3 linked regions of the Notamacropus eugenii genome follow. The protein of the gene in region 1 interacts with the protein of each later gene in a pairwise test. Links are inferred from orthologs where the notes say so. Each region holds a gene or a part of one and is shown in the gene's direction. Other genes may lie near its edges.

What was found.
Region 2: the proteins of LMO1 (region 1) and PTPN3 interact in binary tests that used the Homo sapiens proteins (3 or more experiments, as listed by UniProt). The two-hybrid records come from large-scale screens. The link is inferred for Notamacropus eugenii from reciprocal best matches to the Homo sapiens genes LMO1 and PTPN3.
Region 3: the proteins of LMO1 (region 1) and SOX5 interact in binary tests that used the Homo sapiens proteins (3 or more experiments, as listed by UniProt). The two-hybrid records come from large-scale screens. The link is inferred for Notamacropus eugenii from reciprocal best matches to the Homo sapiens genes LMO1 and SOX5.

Annotation. Positions count from the first base shown.
Region 1 is NC_092877.1:37,385,413-37,393,314, forward strand, and holds the start of LMO1 (rhombotin-1), read left to right. Parts: upstream 1-4,902; 5' UTR 4,903-5,438; coding exon 5,439-5,463; intron 5,464-6,558; exon of another isoform or gene 6,559-7,019; intron 7,020-7,113; exon of another isoform or gene 7,114-7,302; intron 7,303-7,902. UniProt on the Homo sapiens protein: May be involved in gene regulation within neural lineage cells potentially by direct DNA binding or by binding to other transcription factors.
Region 2 is NC_092874.1:313,227,054-313,234,103, forward strand, and holds the start of PTPN3 (tyrosine-protein phosphatase non-receptor type 3), read left to right. Parts: upstream 1-4,048; 5' UTR 4,049-4,117; coding exon 4,118-4,190; intron 4,191-7,050.
Region 3 is NC_092874.1:181,994,875-182,002,771, forward strand, and holds the start of SOX5 (transcription factor SOX-5), read left to right. Parts: upstream 1-4,858; 5' UTR 4,859-4,954; coding exon 4,955-4,992; intron 4,993-7,897.

The DNA of each region.
Region 1 (7,902 bases):
TTGGAAGATAGTCATTTGAACCCCAGTCAGCGCTGCTGGTACTTGCCTGGAAAGATTGCAGAGCATTGTGCCTTTAGGATATTGCCCCCTGACTGTGCCCTGCTGGACCTACCAAGCATAGGACTTCTTAATGGGTTATAAGCCGGATGATGTGCTGTCTTTCTTACTTCTGATTAGTAGGGATGCAGGCAGGCACAGTTAGGTAGTTCAAAAATTAAGGACTGTTAAATTCTTTGTTCCTATTCAGGTCTACTGACCTGTAGCTACAAGAGTAGGTGCAGGTCAGCAATGGGAGGGAAACAGGCTAGCTAGGGGAGGACTGACTTATTGGTTCTCTCAGTATTACAGATGTGGTCATTAAACACCAGGTCTTGCAAGTGGTGTGATGGAAAGAGGACTGGTTACACACACACACACACACACACACACACACACACACACACACCTACCTTTCTCAGTCTCCAATGCCACCTAAATGCCAGTTGCTTGAAAGGAAGAGGAGCTGGGGATGATTCCTTAGGGCTGTGTTCTCTTTTGCCCTCAAAGGCAGCTGGGGCTGCCAGCAGAACATCGGTCTTCTTGTTCTAGTCTACTTTCCACACAAGGCTCAGAAAATCTGGGAACATTCTGTATCTATGTGCTTTCACTCTAAGCTAGTTTTAAAAATCCCAATCTACGTAAATTTCCCAAAACTCAGTTTGCAGCATGAGAATTTCTTAGTTTTTATGTTTATGGGGCAAAATGCTTGTGTGTGTATGTGTGTGCACACGTAGCACCTACGTATTTGCCTTGTTCTAGGGGGAGGCAGCTGAAGCCCTCAGTGACTTTACCCCAGTCTATAGTGGGATGTGAGATTTGAGAAAAGGCATTCTCCAGGCCCATGAGAGGCCTCAGGCTCTGAGTGCTCCCTGTGGAACTCTTAGCCATATTGACTATGAGCTCCTAGAGTTATTTAGGCTAAGTCCGATGCTCCCAGACTTACGGGGTGAGATGTGAGGACAGCTCAGAGGTGCTGGCTTCAGGCCATATTAATTTCCATGACAACATTTGGTGCCAGATCATAGGATCCTAATGTTAGAACAGAAAGGAGTATTCAAAGAAACAGGCCCAGAGAAAAGTGACTTTCCCAAGGTCACAAGGCAGCAAGACTTTCAACTAACGCTGATTGTATTTCCTATGTCCTTTCCACTGTACCATACTGTCTATTTGTTCCTGAGTCATATAATCCTGGCATCTGAAGTACTCTACTCTAGCCTCTGCCTCAGTACAGAAGTCTGTCTCACAGCATCTCTGACAATATTCATTGAACATAGGCTTGAACACCTCCATTGACAGGGAGCTTACCACCTAAACCTAAACCTTACCACCTGTCCTAACCTCTTTCTTGCCTTCCTCAGGCCCTAGAGACTAGTTCATCTGCTTCCTACTGCTACCACCAGACATGGGGCAGTTTTCTGTTGGTGTAGCTTCTCTTTTCAGTACTAGATCCACAAGTCAGTTCTCCTATAAGGCACAGGCCCCTCTGGACAGCAATTTAAACATTTGGCTACCTGTGAGTGCTAGGTCATTATTGTTGGAGTGGACACTTCAGGAAAAAACTGCCTTTCCTGACCCAATGTGATATAATTTTTCTGCCTTAATAGGGATTCTGAGACTGTTGAGGCCACTGCATGGTAGGCTGCAGAGAGCCATCCAAGAAGTCTGCAGGATACGTGATGTGACTTGTATGTTGTGAAATCACATTGGACTATATCAGCAATGCAGGCTCATTTTGTGTATCTTGGGGGACACCCAAGGGTCCTCCCTCTAGTGGAACCCGATATGATATCTGAAACATGATTCCAGATCAGCAACACCAAAGCATCCACAGATACACGAATTTGGGGAAGCAAGAATGGGAGCTTTTGTTCTCAGTCACAAGTCTTTCTAGGACCTGAGAGCTTATCTAGCTTAACCCTGTCATCTTACAAAGGAGGAAACTGAGGCTCAGGGGACTAAGGGATTTTACCAAGAATCAAGATTTTAACCTGGGTCTTAACAATAGCAAATTCATTGTTCTTTCTACGGCATCTGGTTGTGTCTGTCCCCCCAGGGTAGACCTTCTCAATGAAGGAGATTGACAATCCAACTTTAGTCCCTCTGTCCTGCAGCCCCAGGGGATGGGCTGGGATGGGCACTGCTGCCAGTCCTCTCTTCCCCTCCTTTCCCCAAATCCCAGCAAGTGGGATTTCAGTTCACACAACTCCTGCCCTGGTAGTGTTTAGATATTTTGTCCAGCTCTCATGGATTAATTATTGGAATTCTAGCTCTTTGACTACTAATTAGGTATCTTGGAGATTAAGGAGGAATATGATGTTGAAAATGAACTTCTTAGGGTGTTGAGCATATGTGGAAAGGTATGAAATAAAAGAAAACAAGCAAAACAAAGAAACTAGAAAACAAAAAATCCTAGCCTAATTCCATGATAGGAGGGAAATTTCTTCTTCAAATAATGTGGACAAGGAAAACGATGGTACTGGAATGATAGCTTTGAGTGAATGTCTGAAGGTTGGGATGTGAAACTTTAGGCTGAATATCTGAAAGAAATAACACTCCACTCAAGATTGGTCACTCAGAGGACCAAAAACTCTGGCCTTGGAAATCATGGATGATTGTTGATATGTCAGGAATGTGCTTTGGGATTGGGGGGGAGGGGGTTCAATGCTGAATATTTTTTGAAAGGATATACTTGAATATGAAATTCCAGGCTCTGGGTTATTGCCATGCCATGATTTTTGTTTGTTTGGGGAGGCATATAAGTAGTGGATGGAAAGTTTTCTTAATTTGTGGCTTGGGAGTCCCTTTAATGGGTGAGAATTAAATACCTTTTGAGGGCAGCTCTCTATCTTTGGGTACATCAGGCACATTGCTCATCTCTTCAAACTGTCACCAAGGAAAGGGAAAGAGTCCTTGCTGAAAGCTATTCTGTGCCAAATGAGCTACTTAGCTTCAGATATATCCAAGGACTCTTTGGATTAAGCATTCAAAACGTAGGGGAAGTGGGAAAGCATCAGAGCTGTGGATAAGGAAGCTAATTAAAAGCAGGTTGTAGAGAGGAATTGCCTGAACTTCCTTTTGTTTTCAAAAGTCTCACCTCCTTGCTTGGACCAAAGAGGGCAGAGCCCCTGAAATGAAGGCAGATGTGGCATGGGGTGGGGTACAGCATGGTCTAGTGAAAAGGCTACTGATCCTAGAGTAAGAATATATGAGTTCAAATGCTGGCATCAACACTAGTTATGTGACCCTGGGCAAGACATTCCCCTCACAGAGCCTCAGCTTCCTTTTCTGTCATATTGATGATAATAATCATTGCATTTCCTGCATCATAGGTTTATCATGAGGAAAAGTACTTTGTTAACCATATTATTCAATGAAGATCTACAGCTCTAGTTTTCCTTTGTTGCTAAAAATCATTTCATCACTTGAATGGTATTTTGTGGTTTACAAAGTGTTTCATATACTATATGTGATAAATTATATGAATCTCACGACAACCTTATGGTGAAATCAGGATAGATATTATCCTTGTTTTGCAGACAAATTGCAGTATTCAAGGTTTCCTTATTCCTATACCTGGGGTCTTTCCACTCATTAAGACAACCTGTTTCTTCAGAAATTTTCAATATCCATCTCTCTGTCAATATGCATTACCAAAAAAAAAAAAAATGCCAGAGTACTTGCAGTATGCTTGGGTCTGCTGTGGGTCTAATCTGTCATTCAGAGCTGGTTTGAACCCAATTTGGGGGCAGACGATGGGGGTAGAGTGGTGTTTTCCCCAAATGTAAGAAGGTAGAGTAGACTTAAACCTTATGCCGAACTTGCATGGCCCAAGAAACCACTTGGGAAGTCAGAATAAGACTCTAGACCAAGTTCTAGAACCATAGTATAGACTAGGAGGACTTGGACCTGTTGTCAGAAAGGTGACCTTCAAAGACCTGGGTTATTCCACTATTCTTTCAGTTTTAGAGATGGGGAGCAGAGAAAAGGGAAAGGTGGTACATGCACTGCCCCAATCACTAATTCCTACTTTCAGAGATTAAGTCAGACACCAAATACCAAAACTTGGCATAATGTGTGTTAGAAAGAGGCCTGGCCCAGAAGCTGTGAGACCTAAGTTTGAATCTTAGTTCATACAACCTGATTTTGTGACCTTGACCAAATCATTCCCCTCTCTAGGTGGAATCCCCTCCCCCTATGAAATGTGAGTTGCACATTCCATTAGGGTTGGAGAGTTGCTGTTTGACTAGAGAGGGAATGAACTCTTGAGGCTGGAAGAAAAGGTGACTTTATGATGATAAACATGCAGCCCTGGAGTGGAGTGGGACAGGAAAGGGGCTGGAGGCTATGTGCCTCTCTTATATAGCTGAGGGTTACAGTGCACCTCTGGTCCTGAAACATCTGCCAAAAGTGATGGGGAGACAGAGAGAGAGGGAGGGAGAGAGAGAGACAGAGAGAGAGATGGAGAGAGAGGAAAAGAGACAGAGAGAGGGAGAGGGGGGGGGGAGAGACAGAGACAGAGAGAGAGAGAAAGAGAGAGAGAGATGGAAAGAGAGATGGAGAGAGAGGAAGAGAGAGACAGAGAGAGAGGGAGAGAGAGCGAGAAAGAGAGAGAGGGAGAGAGAGAGCGAGAAAGGGAGAGAGAGAGAGAGAGAGAGAGAGAGAGAGAGAGAGAGAGAGAGAGAGAGAGAGAGAGAGAGAGAGAGAGAGAGAGAGACCTGTAGGTGGTGCTGGAGAACCAGGCAGCCTTCCACTCCCCATTAAACTCTTGGGGAGGGGGGGTAGTGTGGGAGGAGGGGGGCTGTCTCTGGGAAATGTGCGCATTTATTCAGTAGCAAGAGTGCAGACCTCATAAATTGAGAGAGAAAGGCAGCGGTAGCCAGCCTCCGATATTTCCCCTCCCATCTCTTTGAATATAATTTTAGATTTAGATTCAGATTAAATCTAAGGGGAAAGCACTTTATAAGACAGAGCTGTGTAGTTGCGAGAGCCAGGGTTATGAGCTATCAAATGCAGTTACATTAAGACAGATTATACTGGGCAAATTGAGCCATTTAGAAGGTGAGAATCAAAGAAAAACTCTGAGCCTCTCTTCCCTCCTACTCTCTCCTCTCCCTCTCTAAATTGCAGCCCCTAGTCTCTTGCAATTCTGAGGCACAAAAAAGTAGGTGAGACTGCTTTTGTATCTGCAAAGTGCTTCACTTCTGAATGTAATTCTAGCTGAGTGCAATCTAGGTTAAGAGCTGGACAACCGGGTAATTAGAGCTCACTGGCTGCCAAAGGGCTGTCCGCTGTGCTCTAGCTCATCTCGGTTCCTAGAGCCGAGACCTCTCGTCCCCGGAGCGGAGGCTGCAGCGGCTGGAGACGCAACGCCTGCGCTCGGACACTTCGTGCTGCCGGAGATGATGGTGTTGGACAAGGAGGACGGTAGGTAGGCTGAAGAGGCCACCCTACCCTACTGGGCTCCTTCTTCTCATGCCTCCCCATCCCATCCCGGCACTGTCCCTGCCTCTGCATGGCAGCTCTCCTGGCATGACCGGACAGGGGCCAGCAGGCACGCGAGTGTGCCTCAGTGCCAAGGGCCGACCCGCCGTGTTCGCCCTTCTCCCTGGCCTTAATGAAAAGTAATCTAGCCCAGAAGGCGTCACTCCACGCTCTGTTTGTTGAAGGATGTACAGTAGGAACCATTTCTGCCCGTTTGAATCATCCAGGCTGAGAGCCCAGTGACTCATATTGGTCCGGGCTTTCGAGGGCTTCTTTATATAGTTAGGGTGGGCGGGAGGGTGTGGTGTGGTGCGGTGTGGGGTGTGTGTGTGTGCATGTGGAGTGAGTGTGCATTCCTCTTTTGGAGTCAAAGGGCAGGCACTAAGGGCCCCCTTCGCTGCCCGATTGCCGTGATCATTTTTCCTATTCTGTATTTTGTCTTTGCGGCTTCCCTGCCCACCACAGCCATAAAGCCGGCAGCCTTAACCTAATCTTCTCCCTAAGCAGTGGGAGCAAATTGTCAGCATCCCAGAGCTCTGGGGGGAAGGAAGAAGGAGGGTCGTTCGAAAAGTGCACGGTGTGGAGAAGCAGCCCCGAGGTGTCGAGGGACTGGTCCAAGACTGCTCCCAGACTCACCTCTGAACTTTAGCAGCAGCAGGCATGTAAAGGCACAGAATGCAATCCCAGCACAGAGCTGGGATGAAAGCTTTCCAAACCCAGCAAATAAGTAAGAAAACTGCTCCATTGCCCCTGGAAAGGTCTAGGAGGTGGATTCCCGCCTCCCCGCGCCCCCCCCCCCCCCCATGCTCCATTCTGCAGTCTCTGATTATTGGACTCCTTGGGTATTTGTTCTTGGGCTTTGCTGTCTATTTCTCTGGGCTCTCTTGGAAGGGTAAGTGAAGTTAAGACTGGGAGCTTTGTAATGGCATATAATAATTTCTGTGGTCCCCAAGAGGGGCCTGACTGGTTGGACTCTCCTGGAAATCCCCCCCTCCCCAGACCTTGATCAGATGGGAATCATACAGAGGGTTGGTGGACTTTGGAGCAAAGAGATGGCTGGGTTTATTCAACAGAGTTGAAGCTCATCGGGTCAGAGCCAAAAATGAAACAGAAGAATTATTAGAGATGTGTTGCATAGGGCCCCCTCCACTGGTTAAAGAAATTGCTTGTGTCTGACTGCACAAGAAGGCAGTTGTCAGAGGCATGGATCCCAGCATCTCCCTGGCTAGGTGTGTGTTTGGGGGAGAGAACCGAAGGTACAACAAGAGATCTATGGGAGGAGAAAACAGGGGCAGCAATGTCATGAGTAGTCAAAGCTGGAACTCGAAGGCAAGACCCTCATGTACCCATGGAAGCCAGGTGCAGTGGAACATAGGGGTGCTGATCTGACCACATCCAACCCTTGCCAACACAGCCAGTAAGGTGTTTCCTCCAGAGGCCTTTTCCCAGTTAACAAAAACTGATGAAGAAATCCTTGGAGTGGAGCTGAGACAGGACACCTGCCAACAGAAGTGACTGCTTGAGTGGGAGCCCCCACCCCCAGCCCCCCATTCCCATCTCTTACCGTCTGTGGCTAGGATCCCTTCTTCTTACCCCTCTCCATCAGCTAGCAGACAAGAGAACTCCTCGGCGAGGCAGCCTTTGTAGGCTCAGTTGCAAGATAGGGTGATTTCCATTAAGAGCACTGATTGTGAAGTCCGAAGGCCTGGGTGCAGGTTCTGTTACTTACTATTTGTGTGACCTGGACAGGTTCTTGATCTTTTCAGGCCTCTGTTTCCTCATCTATAAAATACAATGTTGGACTAGGTGAGTTCTTAGATCCCTGCCAGCTCTAAATCCTATGAATTGGGAGGGTTGAGACATCTCAGTCATAACCAATACCATGGCCAAAGTAGTCAGGCCCAGGACAGCTGCATACCTCTCTGTTGGAACACCTACATCATCAGCGTCAGTGATGCCTTTAATATCATTTTACAGATGAGGAAACTGAGTCTGACAGAAGTTAAGTGTCCAGGGTCACACAGCTAGTAAATGTCTGAGACAGCAAACTCAGATATTCCACATCCAAAATTCTATCCACTGTACCTGGTTACAGGGTATCCAGGTGGGCTTCCCCCTGACAGAGGCACAGGCTTCTTCTCACCTTGAGGTAAGGTCCTGGATCCGTGGTGTTCATTGGGTTCTTAGGCCACCTGGCCCTCTCTTGGTCAATCAAGCTGATGAATCCTATGACTTTCTAGAAACTGTGCTGTCCCCCACCCTGAGCTTGAGGCCTGTCTTTCTTGTCCAAACTCACACCCACGCTTATAATAACCACAAGAGAAGTTTTATTCAGCAAGGATGAATTCAAGGATATTCTCCTACCTTGAACATCAATGAAGG
Region 2 (7,050 bases), on another chromosome or scaffold:
GACTTGGGAAGAGAGAGTGAGGCTTTTGTGTAACTCTGTCTCACTTAAATCCAGTTGAAGCATGAGTCAAGACAATCACCACCATGATGTCATTGGTCCTCTTTGGAAACGGACAAACAATAATGGTTATTGTATAGTATTATACATTTGTTTATGTCCTATTCCTGTTGCTAGATTGGACTCTCCATGAGGGGAGAGACTGTCTTAAATATCTTTGTATATTCTTCTTCCCTTTTCTCTCCAGGAGACTGGGAGACTATAGTTGTATAAAATTGCATGTACTAGAGAAACAGTTGTTGCATTGGTTGGTTTTGCTGGGGGAAAATACATATGTAATTAAAAAAATCTTTGTATAGGATCATAGCCTTTAAAAGTGGAAGGGTCTCCAGCCCTCTCCTTTCATAGATGAGGAAGTTCATCCAAGACGTGAAGTGATTTACCCAAGGTAGCCAAGATTAGAAGAAGGATTTGAACCTATCTGACTCCAAATATCTTTTTTATCCCACTGTTCTTCACTGTTCTCTTGGTGCTCCAAGAAACTCTCTAAGATTGTAAGGTACAGAGCAAATGCCCATCTGCATCCTTAAGGAGGGAGTTTCCTCACTGGGAGTTCTCTATACCAATATAATCCTAGGTCACATACAAAGAAAAAAGAAGAGGTGTTATTGCATGGATGAATTCATGCTTCTCTACCATTCCTCATTTTGTTTTGCTATCTCTAATATTCTCCCTATCCTACTGTATGTTCATATTAATCTTATTCATTAGGTCTAGTTCCAGGTTTGCCCTCATGTGGTCCTTTGTGGTCCCCTGATCTTCTGCAGTTATTAGAACTCTCTTCCCCTTCACTGTGTATATACTTTTCCATGTATCTTAGTTTTGTTTTGTTCAGAGATAAGTTCTTTTAGTTAGAAACTCTGCTATATACTTCTTTTGTATACAGTGTCACAGAACCAAGCTCACATTCAGTCTAAGTGAATTGAGTTACAGAGTTTCTTGGAAACAAGTTTGTTGTTGTAGTTCTAGATGTAGTAATCTTTTTTATTTAATAATTTATTTTGCTGTAATCTCAGTCATTAGTTTTTGACATTATTATTTGCAGTTTACCAATCTGTGCATTTGGTTTAGTTGAGCATTAAATATGCAGTCGAGTTGTACAGTCTAGTATGTATACAGCTATTATGCAAAATGTATTTGAAAGTCTAATAAAGAACTGAAAAAATTGAAAAGGAAAAAGATTGTTAATGACTGGGAAGATCAGGACAACCTTCATGGAAGGAATGGCATTGGACAGTTGAAAAGGGTCTCTGTTCTTGGTATAGTAAATGGTACAAAGGAAAGCCCAATCCAGAGGATCAGAGAAATCTACAATGTGGCTACATGTTAGGGTATTTGTAGTCAAGTAGCATGAGATAAAGCTAGAAAGACAGGGGGTCCTAGATTGTAGATAGCCTTGATACATAGGTAGAGAAGTATGAAGTAGGGAGCCTCTGAAGATTTTTGATCAGATGAGTAATATGATTAGAATTATGTACAAAGGCAACTAATTGGGCAGTAATATAAAGGGTCATAGTCTGGACGGGGAAGAGAAAGGAGAAGAGAATTCATGTTGATTGATTATTTCAGTTATCCTGCTAGGTGATGGGAGCCTGTATTTGGGAGGTGAGGAGTTGGATATGAAAAATGTTACTGAGGAAGAATCAGTAGGACTTGGTAACTAATTCAACATAAGAATCTCTTGGAGACTTAGTGAATGTTAGTGCTGTGGATGGAAGTAGTAAAGATGGAAGAGTAGATTTAGTAAGAAAGTTGAACTTGGTTTTGGACACATTGATTTGGAAAGGCTACTGTGATATTCAATTGGAAGAGTTCCATAGACAATTGGGGATATAGATAAGAAGAGATGAGATGTGGGAGTCATCTGTGTCCATCAGTGCTCTCCATAATGGAGACTGTAGATTGATCCCTACTTAGGCAATGGCTTGATCCCAAGAGATGTGTAATCCTCCAATTGGAGGAGAAGATGAATGGCATCCCACCTGCCTTTCAGTGTTCAATCATGGGATCTCTCCAACAGAACCACACTTACCCTTACCCCCAACACTACCCTGCTCTGCCTCTTCTTTCTGCTGTGCATGCTTCCATCTTCACCCTTTCTGAGGCTAGTTTTGGCTCTTCAGGACAGTTATAACTTAATCTTCAACATAGGCACCCATAGTAGCACCTGGCTAAGTGCTATTGGAAAAATCAACTACTTCCCCAAAAGGAAACCCACCTTCTTCCCCCCAGATTACCTTGTGACTGTGACAGTCTCCGTATTCCTAGGCAGTGACCCTTGAATGAAATCCTTGCCGTTCTCTTTTTCATTTTGAGTCTTTTGCACAGAACAGGTGGGCATAGGTGTGTAGTGATCTTCATCATAGATCTCAATACGTTATCTTCCTTCCCTTCCACCTGAAGCCCACCCATTATTTTCAAGAACACTGCCATGTTTCCAGTTGCCCAATTGCACAACATCAATGTCATCTACTCTTCATGTTCCTTTACTTCACACATACAGTCACTTGTCTAATCTTGTTTCTCTCACCACGTGTCTCAGGCTGATTCTTTTCTCTACTCACACAGCCTAGTTCTGGCCCCGTCATCTTGTCTAATCTATTATGAATTTGCTAATTGGACTTCCTGCCTCTCCTCTCTGCATTCATAGAACCTATAGCTGTCAAAGTGATTTTCCTAAATTGAAGGTGTGATCATTTCACTACCCTACTCAATAAACTCTAGTGGATCTTGCCCACTTTAACTTTACAAATATTTCATCTTTATCGCATCCTTTCTATTTGTTTTTGTGTATGTAAATTTTATAATGCATAAAATTGAGTACAGTAGTGTCATATAATTTACAAATAAGTAAATATACATACGTTGTTGTGTGCTTGACCACTAGCCAAAAAGTTTTGGAGACCACTGGTACAGATAGATGAAGAGTACTGAATTCCTTTGCCAAAGGACAAAGCATAGAAGAGAGAGCTAAAGGGAGAATCTTAGAGAATACCTACTTTTGGGGCCAGAAAGAGGAAAAACAGCCTAGGAAGGAGAGAGAAAAGAAACTAGTTTGAGCTTGTGTGCTTGAAGTGTTGAAAGAGAAAGTATTCCAAACGACAGGGTCATTAACAGTGTTGTATGTTATAGACAGGTCAAGAAGTGGTAAGGGATGGTAATACTTACTGAATTTGGCCAGTGGGAGGTCATTGGTGACCATTCAGAGAAGTTTCATTAGAAATGTAAATGTATAAACTAGATTTCAAGGGAGTGAGGAAGTTGAGACCATTTTAGATACTGTATTCTCCCCACTCCCCACCAAAATAATATGTACTATAGGGTAAGGGAGAAATGGAACAGTAATGATTGGAACAAACTTTTTTTTTTTTAGGATTAGGGAGACCAGAATATTTTTCTAGGTAGATTGTTAAGGAATCAATAAAGAGGAGAGATTGAGGATGTGTGGGAAAGAGGGACATACAAAGTGATTGTTTAAGTAAAGGCCTTGATCATGTGGTAGGAGGTACGGATAGAGGGAATACCCTTAATGAAGGGTATTAACACATCCTCTGACTAGAGGGAAGGAAGAGAGAGCCAGAGATGATGCTGAGTAGTTACGTAATGACCAGAAGACTCTGGAGGCTGGGGAGCTCACAATTGCTGGCCTCAATCTTTTCAGTAAAGTAAGTGGGAGATTGTCATCTGCTAAGAGTACTAGAAATATGGGTGGGGTTGCACTTAAGGAATGAGGAAAAGGTTTAAAAAGACATAGGGAGTCAAAAGGAGAGTAGGATTGTTGAGCAATGAGAGCCCAGCTGTTTTATAACAAATTTTTAATGGGTGACATCACCTCAGTGTCATGGCTTCCTTTAGCATTACTCAGCAGGCTAGGAACAAGAGCAGGGAAATTGGATTGAGAAGCCTTACCAAGCATGGGGATTAGCAGAAATGAAAGACCCAAATTTCTCGGAGTGGGGAGTAAGGGGTAGGGGTTAGGGAACGATTTGGCAACTTATTGTCTTAGAGAATTGCTTGTAGCTCTAAAAAGTTAAAGAGATGAAAAGCTGGTTTCATTTTAATGAGAGTGGGAGAGGGAGAAGAACAGAAGATTGCAATCAGAGAGAGGAATTTTGAAGGTCAAGGTCTCCAAGGTGGGTTGTGTACAGTACAGTGAGATGGCAAATGATAAATTCTTCAGACTTCAGTTGAAAAAAATTAGTTGAACAGGTTGAGGAATTATGTGTTCAGAATGCCTCAACATGAATAGTAATGATGAGTACTGGGAGTTAGGTGGAAAAAGAAACAGGGATCAAGGTGCTAAAATCATTGAAAAGGTTGAAAGAAGTACCTGGAGGTAGGTCAGTTTCATATCAAGCATCTTAGGTTTAAAGCTAGAAGAGACTTTTGAGATCCAACCATTTTATAGATTTTATAAATGATTTTATAGATATTTTATTTTATATTTCTATATTATATTATATTATTTATTTAATTTTATATTTATATTTTATAGATGAAAAAATGAGACCTTGTAAAATGACTTTCTCAAGGTCACATAAGTAGCAAATAGCAAACTGGGATTTGAACCCACAACTTGGGACCCCAGATTCAGTCTTCTTTCTACTGTGTTAATCTGAGAAGGTGGTGTTTATAGATTACATAGACTTTGAAGGGACAAAAATACTTTTTTGGGGGTGGAGGTGAAGAATTGAATATCTTCATTGTACCTCTCTCATTTCTTCTGTTTCTCATCTTTTCTGTACTATCACGTATTGTGCCTTCACCAGGGCCCAAGAATATATAAAAATGCAAATTAATCTATCTGACTAGCTAATGTACTCTTAAGAATCACAAGTTGTAATTGTTTGTGAGATGACAAACTAATGAGGTTTCTAGAATGGACAGAGTAGGGGCACAGCACCTTCTGGATCTGGAAAATCTGTAGAAAAAATCTTGGCCCTCTCTTTGTACTAGAGAAGTATGAATTTTTTTCTTTTTTTAATAGGGTATTTATAATGCCTTATTGTAAAGTTTGAGTTAAATATTTAAGCATAGACTCTGTGTCATCTGCTGGCCTTTGTGTGTCCTCTGCAGCTTCTACAAAACTCTACAAAAGTTCCCATTTAATTTCTTATACCATCCCATGATGTATTGAAACCACGGTGGGGAAAGTCGCGGTGTGGAAGGGATGACCATGTACCTTATGCTTTTGTGTTGCCCTCCTCACCATAGTGAATGATTACTATAGACAAGAGCTTACTCTAGTGTTGTCTAATTGATCATATTTCATGTTCGCTGTCTTCTTCAGTGTCCTTCAGAAAAGATTATTTTTTATTATGACTAAATTCTTCTATTCATGTTAGTTTGTATGAATGTGCATGCTCTTAAAAGAGAACCTGACATACTTCAAAGCATTTTAAGCAAATTAAATAAAAATATTTCCATTGGAAAAGGTTTTATCCTCCATAGTTAATGTATATTCTTTCAGGCATTACATTGTAGAGATATATTTAAGAACTAAATGAATGGTAATTAGCCATGTTTATCTACATTAAAAAGAAAAGAACACTTGTATTTGTGTAGGTGAAGGGAAGTACTCAGTGAAACTCCTTTGGTGAGAAATTCTCTTGAGTTTTCATTAGACCTGGAAAGGACCTCAGATAAATTTTGATCCAGTCCTCTCAAGAGGCCAAGTGACTGGACCAAGGTCATATGGATGGTATGTAAGTGCCAGAACCAGAATTTGAATCCAAGTCTTCTGATTATTAAATCCAGAGCTCTTTCCATTACACTGTGGTTTTTTTAGAAATAGGAAATGTGACTTAATGAAGAACTTATAGATGAACTAATTTATTATATAGATGATTATATATTTTTGATTCATATGGTAGATTTGACTTTCTTTTTTGTACAACATACAGACATGCAAACATTTGATTTTATAACTGGAGGAAAGGAAATTATGTTGTAGTGCTATTTAATAGGGGAGAGTTGTAAAAATCTGATTTCATTATTTAAATTTAGATGTTATGGCATGTTTGTATTTTAATATGCTTAAGATAAGACTAAAGAAAGGACTGTCCTTCTAATTATCCACGAAATATATTTTTCCACATAACTTGCCCTGCTCATCTTCTCTTATTACCAGTATAAAGGTACATGCGAATGAGAATTGTGAGATACTGTTACCTTATAACATTTTATGTTTTCAAGCCTTTATATAGATGTATTCACTCCCTAATCATTCTGAAACTACCATTTAGATATGTTGCTACCGAGTAGAAGTAGGTTACCTCTACCACATGACTCTGGGGCAGGCTTGCACAACTTTCGGTTTGCCAGAAGTGGTCCCATATATTTAAATTTACCTTGTTTGAAGTTCTAATTCTGTAAAATATGGTCCTTGGTTCCAGCCCAATGAAAATATGCCATGTTGAATTACTTGGACAAATGGGGACCTAGCTGTAATGTGAGGATCAATGAAGCAGTACTCCAGAAGGTGAAGAGACAAATGGGACTCAGGAAGACAAATACTCGTGAGCAGAGCAAGGCAGAGGTTTGGTTTAAGTTCTAGGAATGTAGTCAGAAACTAGGAAATCTCCCTATGAGAGTTAACAGTAGTGATCTAAGTTTCTTCAGGGCAGAGACTTGGGTGGTGGTAGTTATTTTTTGATCTTTGTATCCCAAGCACACAGAACGATACTTTGCACACAGTAGGCATTTAATGAATATTCATCGAATTGAATGGATGGCAAGAGGGCCATTAGGAATTGGGGAAACAAAAAAGAGTAGAAAAGATAGAATGTGTACATAGCACAGGAAAGGACATGGAAGGCAAGCACCTTGCTAAAACGAAGGCATTTTGTAGACCAACCTTATTACTGGTCATTCAAGGACCCAGGAGGCTGGCAACGCTTTTCTGCCACAGAACATTTTTGCCCTGCTTTGGTTGTTTGAGTTGTTTGAGTTTGAGTTTGAGAATTCTAAATTTAAAATTGAAAAGAACGTTAG
Region 3 (7,897 bases), on another chromosome or scaffold:
TATGTAATGTAGTATAAATTTACTTTTGAATAGTTTGAACTTCATAGCTACCAAAGTACTTTACAAGTCTGAAATTCTGACTTTGTGATTTGGAGAACTCTAAAGCAAATGTGATAGTTCAGGTATTGTTTTAAAATAGCAATTTATGAAACTAAGATTTCTCTAGAAATTGAGGGAATATTCTCTTTTTTTTATATACATACATATGCATATGTATATATATATGCATATAGTTTATAAAGTATCTTGAATATTTGTCTACTTGTTTGTAGAATGTTTCACCTATTTATTTGAAGAGTGACTTGAACATTATTGATAATATTAAGGAGTATCATTTATAAATAATAATTTATATACCAAATGAGAAATTATTTGGATTATCTAGGACAGTACAGTGTCATTATCCAAGAAAATACTACTAGAACATTTTGATGTTTACAGCCCTTCTAGCAAAATCATTCCAAAATCTAATACAAACACCAATTTGCTTTCCAAGGACTCAAATGGCAAAAATTGTCTCATGCTAGTTTGGAGTAGAATGTTAGCATTATTCTGTATACCTACTGCACGCAGTATTGTATATAAGCACCAATGTAAGCATCTGATTTTAAAATGCACTATGCGTGAATAAGGTGAAAACTCCTTAAAAGGGACCCAGCACCATCTTGGGGATCTCATTTAATACTAATTAATTCTGTGCTTAAAAAAAAAACAAAACATGGCTCAAAATTAAAAGAGAAATGAATAAAAGATTTGACTCCAAGTACTAACATAGCCACTAAGGTGCTGATTGGCTTTGGATAGTCACCTGAAAAATATTTGTCCTTGTTGTAGGCATGGCTCTAGAACCAGCACCCTCTTAATTCAGGTTCAGTGTTGGGACAAAATGAGGTACTCACAAGGCACTGAACGTTTAATAAAGGAGGAAGCTTACTTGGTTTGTCTAGCATAGCAAGGCTGTGCCAAAAGGATACAGGGGTACTGAGCTTCTCTGGACACAGCCCTCATCATCTCCATTTGGAAATGTGTTTAGTCAGTGGCCGATTGGAACAGAATCTCACATGGTGTCAGCACCAAGCAAGCCTGAGATGTACCAGTGACGTGAGGCTGGCACCTTTAATGCCCCCAGATCAGGAAGCTGTGTGAGGAAACTGTTATTCCTTTCATAGTCTCCAACTTCCCTGATCTTCAAATTAAGGGTAAGAACACTTACCTTTACATACCTTCTATTGCCACATAAGATAGCAGATATGAAACTGAGAACCTTAGAAACTGCTATATAAATGTGAAATGCTATCACGATTATGTTGAGAGGCAAGACAGCTTAGTGGATAGTGAGGTGATCATGGAACCAGGAAGACCTAAATTCAAGTCCTATCTCTGATATATATGACCCTTGCCTAGTCAAGTCACTTAACCTCTGTTTTCTAAGTAATTTTCTAAGATTTTAATGTGTAAAATATGCTCGCCTGTATTGATAGAAGGAGGTTTCTCATCTGGGATTTCCCTTTATTAATGAAATTGTAGGTCCAATTCTTATCCTAAAATGTCAATTATACAGGGGTTTCTTTTAAGCATACTTATATTCCAGGCCCATCTTAAGACCCTGAGTATGATAAGAAGTAAATCCCTTGCTAGGCAATGTTTATAATAATAGTTTAGGGACTTAACAATGTTTTAGACACCTAACACTCATTCATAGAATTCCTCACATTTATCTTTGGTATGTTAAACAAATAAAATTGGCTGGTGTTTTATTGAATATGAAAACTTAGGACACCAGAGATACTGAGAGACATCAGGCCTTTAAAACACAGTTTGCATCAGACTCATAAGAACTTTTAATTTTTACCTATCCTGCTGACCTTTTAGATTAGAGTTGCAGATGCAGCCAGAGGTGGTAGCTGTAGTAAGACAGAACAAGCTGGGGCCATACACAACTAAGCAGCTTGCCTTTTGGTTATTATCTCTGTTTCTATCTTTATACTGCACTATGTCTCCTTGCTCTCCCCCTTATTTCTTTCCTCCTCCTTCCCCTTCCTGACTTGCTCCTCCTGCTCACTGTAACCTATACCCCCTTTTATTTGCTTTGTTCTACTAATATTAAAAAATGAAACAAGATTCCCAAATTAGCAAATTTATACAACCTTATTTTTAAAGAAAATTATTTATGTAACCCACACCCCTAATTCGTTATATTTTGCTTCCTGCTCCCAAAAGGAGATCATTTTGTTGAAGTTTTGAGTTTCTCTAAGCTTTTTAAAAGTGAAGACTGTCTTTTAGCCTTATTCTGAACAAGATGAATATAGATTCTTAAAACTAATAAATCAAAATAGCTTAAACTCTTTATTGCTATAAGATTATCTTTCCAGAAGAGTTTGTTTCATTTAAAAAAAGATTTGAGACTAATTGCTAAAAAGAATACTGTTATAGTAACAATCACCACCATCCTTTTCTCTTCCTTTAACTAACCCCACCAGAAAAACATATAATCATCAATTTTTGTCACATCTCAGGTTAACTGCTTTGCCAAAGTAGATGATAATTCTGTATTTTTTGTTATTAGTACTTTAACTATATAACAGCATGTTTAAATCCAATTTAATTTTGGTTAGCTATCACAAACAGGGGTATATATGCATCTATATGCATGCATATACACACACACATATATATGCATGCTTTTTGCAAGATTTATTTAAGAGGAAAATTAAAAGATAAAGTATGATTAGTGTATCCTACTATATTTATTACTACCAAACCTTTCAATGATTTTTTATGATATCAATGGCTTGTAGAAGGTGGAATTAAAATATAAATTCATCCGTATAAAAAGGCTAAAAATTGATAGCTGCTATTTTAGAGGGTATGTGAATGTGCGTGTGTCATTGTGTATGTCTAAAAAAGTAAACTTGCTGTCTGCCTGTCGCCAGGAAAAAAAAAAGTGGGACCTAATCAAACCACTGTGGGGTCAACCCTTGTGGTTTTAAAGGCCCTTAATGTTGTCCAGCTGCAAAATAAAAGGAATTGGGAGGGGAAGTTGGAAGGAGTGGGGGGTGGGGGGGCTGTTGGAAAAGAACAGGGAGTCTGGCTTTTATTTTTTTTAAAGTGAGTTCAGTGCCAGCCTGGACATTGGCTGTGCAGACTATTGAGCCATTGTCTGCTCCATTTCCAGAATAGCCCCCAGTTAATCACTTCGGCTTTGAAGGGAATTTCCTCGTGGAATTCTCCACAGAAAATCTAATCAACTGACCTGCCCTCTCAACAATGGAAGGCTTTTTTTTTCTCTCTTTCCCTTATTGGGGCGGACTCTGTAATGTAGCCTTTTGTGCAGAATGAACCCTCCCAGTAGGAGTGGAGGGAGAGAGAGAGGAAGGGAGGGAAAGAAGGAGAGAGAGAGAGAGAGAGAGAGAGAGAGAGAGAGAGAGAGAGAGAGAGAGAGAGAGAGAGAGAGAGAGAGAGAGAGAATGAGAATGCACAGTCTTGTGTTTGTGAGGGTGTGCTTACTCTGACCAGATGCTGCAGTGCACGGGGATAGTCACCATCTCTCTGTGTGTGTGAGTGTGTGAGTGTGTGTGTGTGTGTGTGTGTGTGTGTGTGTGTAGTGTGTGTGTGTGTGTGTGTGTGTGTTATGTGCCCCTGTCATTTCGTGTCAAAGGTACATTACCTGATTACCTTCCTCATCTGCCAGATTTTTATCTAGATAATTGGAACTGCTATGGAGGCTGTTCTCTGCCAGCCAGCTTAGAATCTGTAAAACCATAGTTTGTCCACCTTGTTATCTGTGGCTGCCTGGGCAGAGGAAATTAAAGAGATCCACAGCTAAGGAACTTAGCCTTGTTCCCTGCTCTCAACCACCTCCTCCCCCAGCAACCCAAAAGCCGAACAGATCCAAAGTTATTATTCTTTGGAGGTCCAGGGGGTGATTTTTGTTTCCTTCACGTGTGTTATTTGGGGATGTGGACACCTATTCCCCTGCACACAGCAGTGATGTTTTATGGAGTTTGGAGCTGAGGAAACTTTGGCTGTGTTGCCAGGACATTCGCACCACTTTGTGGAAAGCAAGAGCTAACAGGGAGACGGACAGAGTGAGTGACAAGTTGTTTACAGGTTTCCTTGAAGGGGCCTCTGCTATATTTCAATCTGTCAAAGTTGCTTTTCTTCCCTCAGAACAATGCCTGATTGTTGTGTGTGTATGTGTGTGTGAGAGTGTGTGTGAGTGTGTGCTTCCGTGTGCGGGCGAAGAGAAAGCCAAGAAGGGGGGATAAGAAGTGCATGTGTAAAAAATACTATTGCTAACATTTCCATTTTTTTCTTTAATTAGTTAACAACTGCAGTTTAAACGGGGGGCTGGTATTATAGATTCTCTTTTAATCCACCGCTAATACATTTTTCTTGATTAATATTATTTGTGTATGCATTTTATTCATGGGGGAGAGTGTGTATGGGGGATGTTAAATGAGTTGACTTCTCACATTCTCTGATGACTGGATGATAGAATTAAAAGGAAAGGACAGGCACCCTGAGGTTGTCTAGTGCCTAGCAGCCGCAGCGTGCTGCTCAGCTGTGGGGGAAGCTTTCTAAACACTCTGTGCCGCTAAGTGTGCTACCCCTTTAAGAGACTGGTCAAGGAGTCCTAGTTCACAGAGAGGGAGAGGGAGAGGGAGAGGGAGGGAGAGGGGGAGAGAGAGAGGAAGAGAGAGAGAGGAGAGAGGAAGAAAAAAGGGAGAGAGGGGAGAGAGAGAGAGAGAGAGAGAGAGAGAGAGAGAGAGAGAGAGAGAGAGAGAGAGAGAGAGAGATTGAGGGAGGGAGGGAGGGAGAGGGGGGAAGAAGAGAGGAGAGGAGAGGAGAGGAGAGAATCAATTGGTTTAGAGGGTTTGGACTCACTTGACAGGTTCAGTTGGAGACGATCATAGGTGGCTGCTGTGACAAAGGGAAATTGTGCTTTTCCAGCATGCTAACTGACCCTGATTTACCTCAGGAGTTTGAAAGGTGAGTTGAGTTGTTTTGTTTTGGATGTTATTTTTTTTAAAAAAATATGAAAGTATAACTCTCCCATTTTACAGGCTTAGAATCAGTTGTGAGATGCTCTTTAAAAATCATGCTTGCCGGAGAAGCTTTTATGAATCTATATGTTAACTGAATCTTGTTGTTTTCTGAACCAAATTGAAGGAATTTGCAAAGTCCCTAAGCTTGGTCTTGATGATTTTAGGTTTGGTCCTATAACAGAGATTTTAATGAACATTAAGCATCCTACCCCTCTCATCTCTTCCTTTCTTCCTCTAAATCTTTTTTCATGCAAAGCACCCACATTTTCAGCATCTCCGTCTAAGATGTAATTTCTGGGATGACAGAGGAATTTGAGGATGATTAGAACTGAGGCTTTAAGTTCCTGCAAAACTTTGGAAGTAGCTCCATAAAGCACATGACCTTTTGTTGATATAAGGGAACAGGGTGTGCATTTTTTTTAAACTCAAGTTAACATCACAACAATCCATCAGAAGGTCCTTTTTTTTTAAGTGTCAAAAAAGTTAAACACTGATGATTCCTAACTTTTAGTGGACACTTTTTGCACTGGCTGTCGAAAGCTCAATTTTGATTTATGATGTTTCCTTCTTTTGCCAAGACAGGAGCATGTGTATTTGGAATTAAGTTGTTACTATTGAGAAATTATTTTTAGCTGCTTTAGTTTTGTATTATTTCAAGTTGAGTTGGGCTTTCAAAGACGTTAGTCCTCTTCGTGTGCTTCTTAATATATACTGTAATTTTTTTTTTAAAAAATTCTTTATTCTTACTCTACCACAAGTTCAATTTTTGGGGAAAACTATAAATAGGATCTTGTTTGCCATTTAAAATAATTCAAACTTTGCATTCTCTTTGGTGATTTTTTTTTAATCTAAAAAAAGACAGGATGCATGATACATAGGCTATATTTTTTTTCATTTTCATGAAAGCTACCTTCTGTATAAACATTTGTTGTATCTGACTATGCAATGCAAGCTAGGTGCTAGACCAGCTGGTTAAAAATATGCTAAGTCAAGCTGTTCATCGCTCAAATGACTGAATTTGATATGAAAAGGCGAAAAAAGAAAGACAAAGATTAAAACATTTTAAGATTGCAGTAAATCAGTGAGCAATGGGAGATGAAAAAAGAGTACTGAGAGTAAAATACATCTTGAATGTGGTTATATATTAGGGTGCAGAATCTGAAATTACGAAGAAAATTAAAAGAACACAAAATATACTTTAGCAGTGGTTTCTTTTTTTCTTCCCACTGAGGGATTTATTGATCAGATATCCTCATTTAAATGGCTGAACTTCTTTAATGGCTTTATTGAAGGGTTCTAATATTTTTTCACTTGAATTTAGTAACTCCTCAAAATGTTAACATTTTACTTGGGAAGAATGCTTTTTTAAACAGAGACAGATTTGTTAATTATCATAGAAATTATTAGTGTTTGAAGTAGCAAATACTTTCTTAATTCAACAGAGTAACAGCTCTCTATGTGGTACAGAGTAAGAGTTAAACTATAATATTCTTTAACTGTAACTGCATGTTATGAAGATGATACTGGCAATCTGATTTGTAAGTCAGTTAAATGATTCTTATAAAAGGTAGTTACATATTAAAAGGTTATATTCTATGTTTATGTGTAGGCAAGCTTTACCACTGTCAGCTTTATTTGTATTTTCTTCAATTATCTCCTTTTGAGTTAATTAAAAACTCCTAACTGCAACCCCCAAATTCTAAAGCTAGAATCTCTTAACATTTTACTCCTGGCTCATGTTTCCTTTTTGCCATCACTCAGGGGCATGCACTTCTCACTGACTGGTTAAATAAGCAAATGGTAATCAATAGTGTTGGTATTATTGCTGACAGATTTGAAAATATTAACAACTCAAATATTTTTGAAAGACATCCCATGATGTAAGAGGTCTTAATTAGAATTGGTAATATAACCCCAAATCTTGATAGCTCATTACCATCTGTTTACATTATTAATATACAGGTAAATGTATCTGTAATAACCTAGATGTAGTGCATATCATGTAGCAATGACGATCTGCAGTTATAAACGGAAAACTCAGAGGATGTATACATAATATGTCTACACTACCACATGTGTTCAGCTGGGATTTTTTTCTGTTTTTTAAACTACTTGTGACTGTTTCCATACAAATTACTTATAGTTCACACAAATACCTGCCATAGGAGATTTTCAAAAATCAATAATCACCCATAAACCTATAAAAGAAGCCTTCTAAAATAACTTGTTAAATAGATCACTGAAGTGAACAAAGTTTCTTGCTTTTAGTTTTTTTTTCCATTAGAAATAGAACTTATGTCATCTTAGACTGTTTCCACTGAGAGATTTCTGACTATTTTTCATTGTTCTCTAAATCTCCATATTGTTTTGAAACTTTACAGAATAGTTAGAACCTGTGCAATTAAAAGTTAAATGTGGAGATGACAACTGTTTGATTTGGATCGGTATACGACTGTGATAACAGCTCTAGAGGTGAAAATGGTCAGGACTGTCATTTAAACAATTGTTAATTCATTCAAAATTGGTAGCAATTGCAGAGACTGTTAAAAATTGTCCTTCAGGATTTATTAAAAATTTACCAAACTGGACAGTGTTTTCTGAAAAGTAAAGTGAATTCCAACCTTTAGTTTTTATTTGCAAGTATTCACCTTCCTAACTAAAATGATAATGTAGACTCCACATGGGGATGAGAGTCAGGGAAGCATTTCTAAAGAATTCTTGGAAATATTATTGGCAATTAGGACCTATTATGTCTTACTTCTTAGAGTCAGTATAATTGACAGCATGCACTATATGTTAATAGCTATCACATTAAATGCATACTAGAACTCTCACAATATAAATCCTTT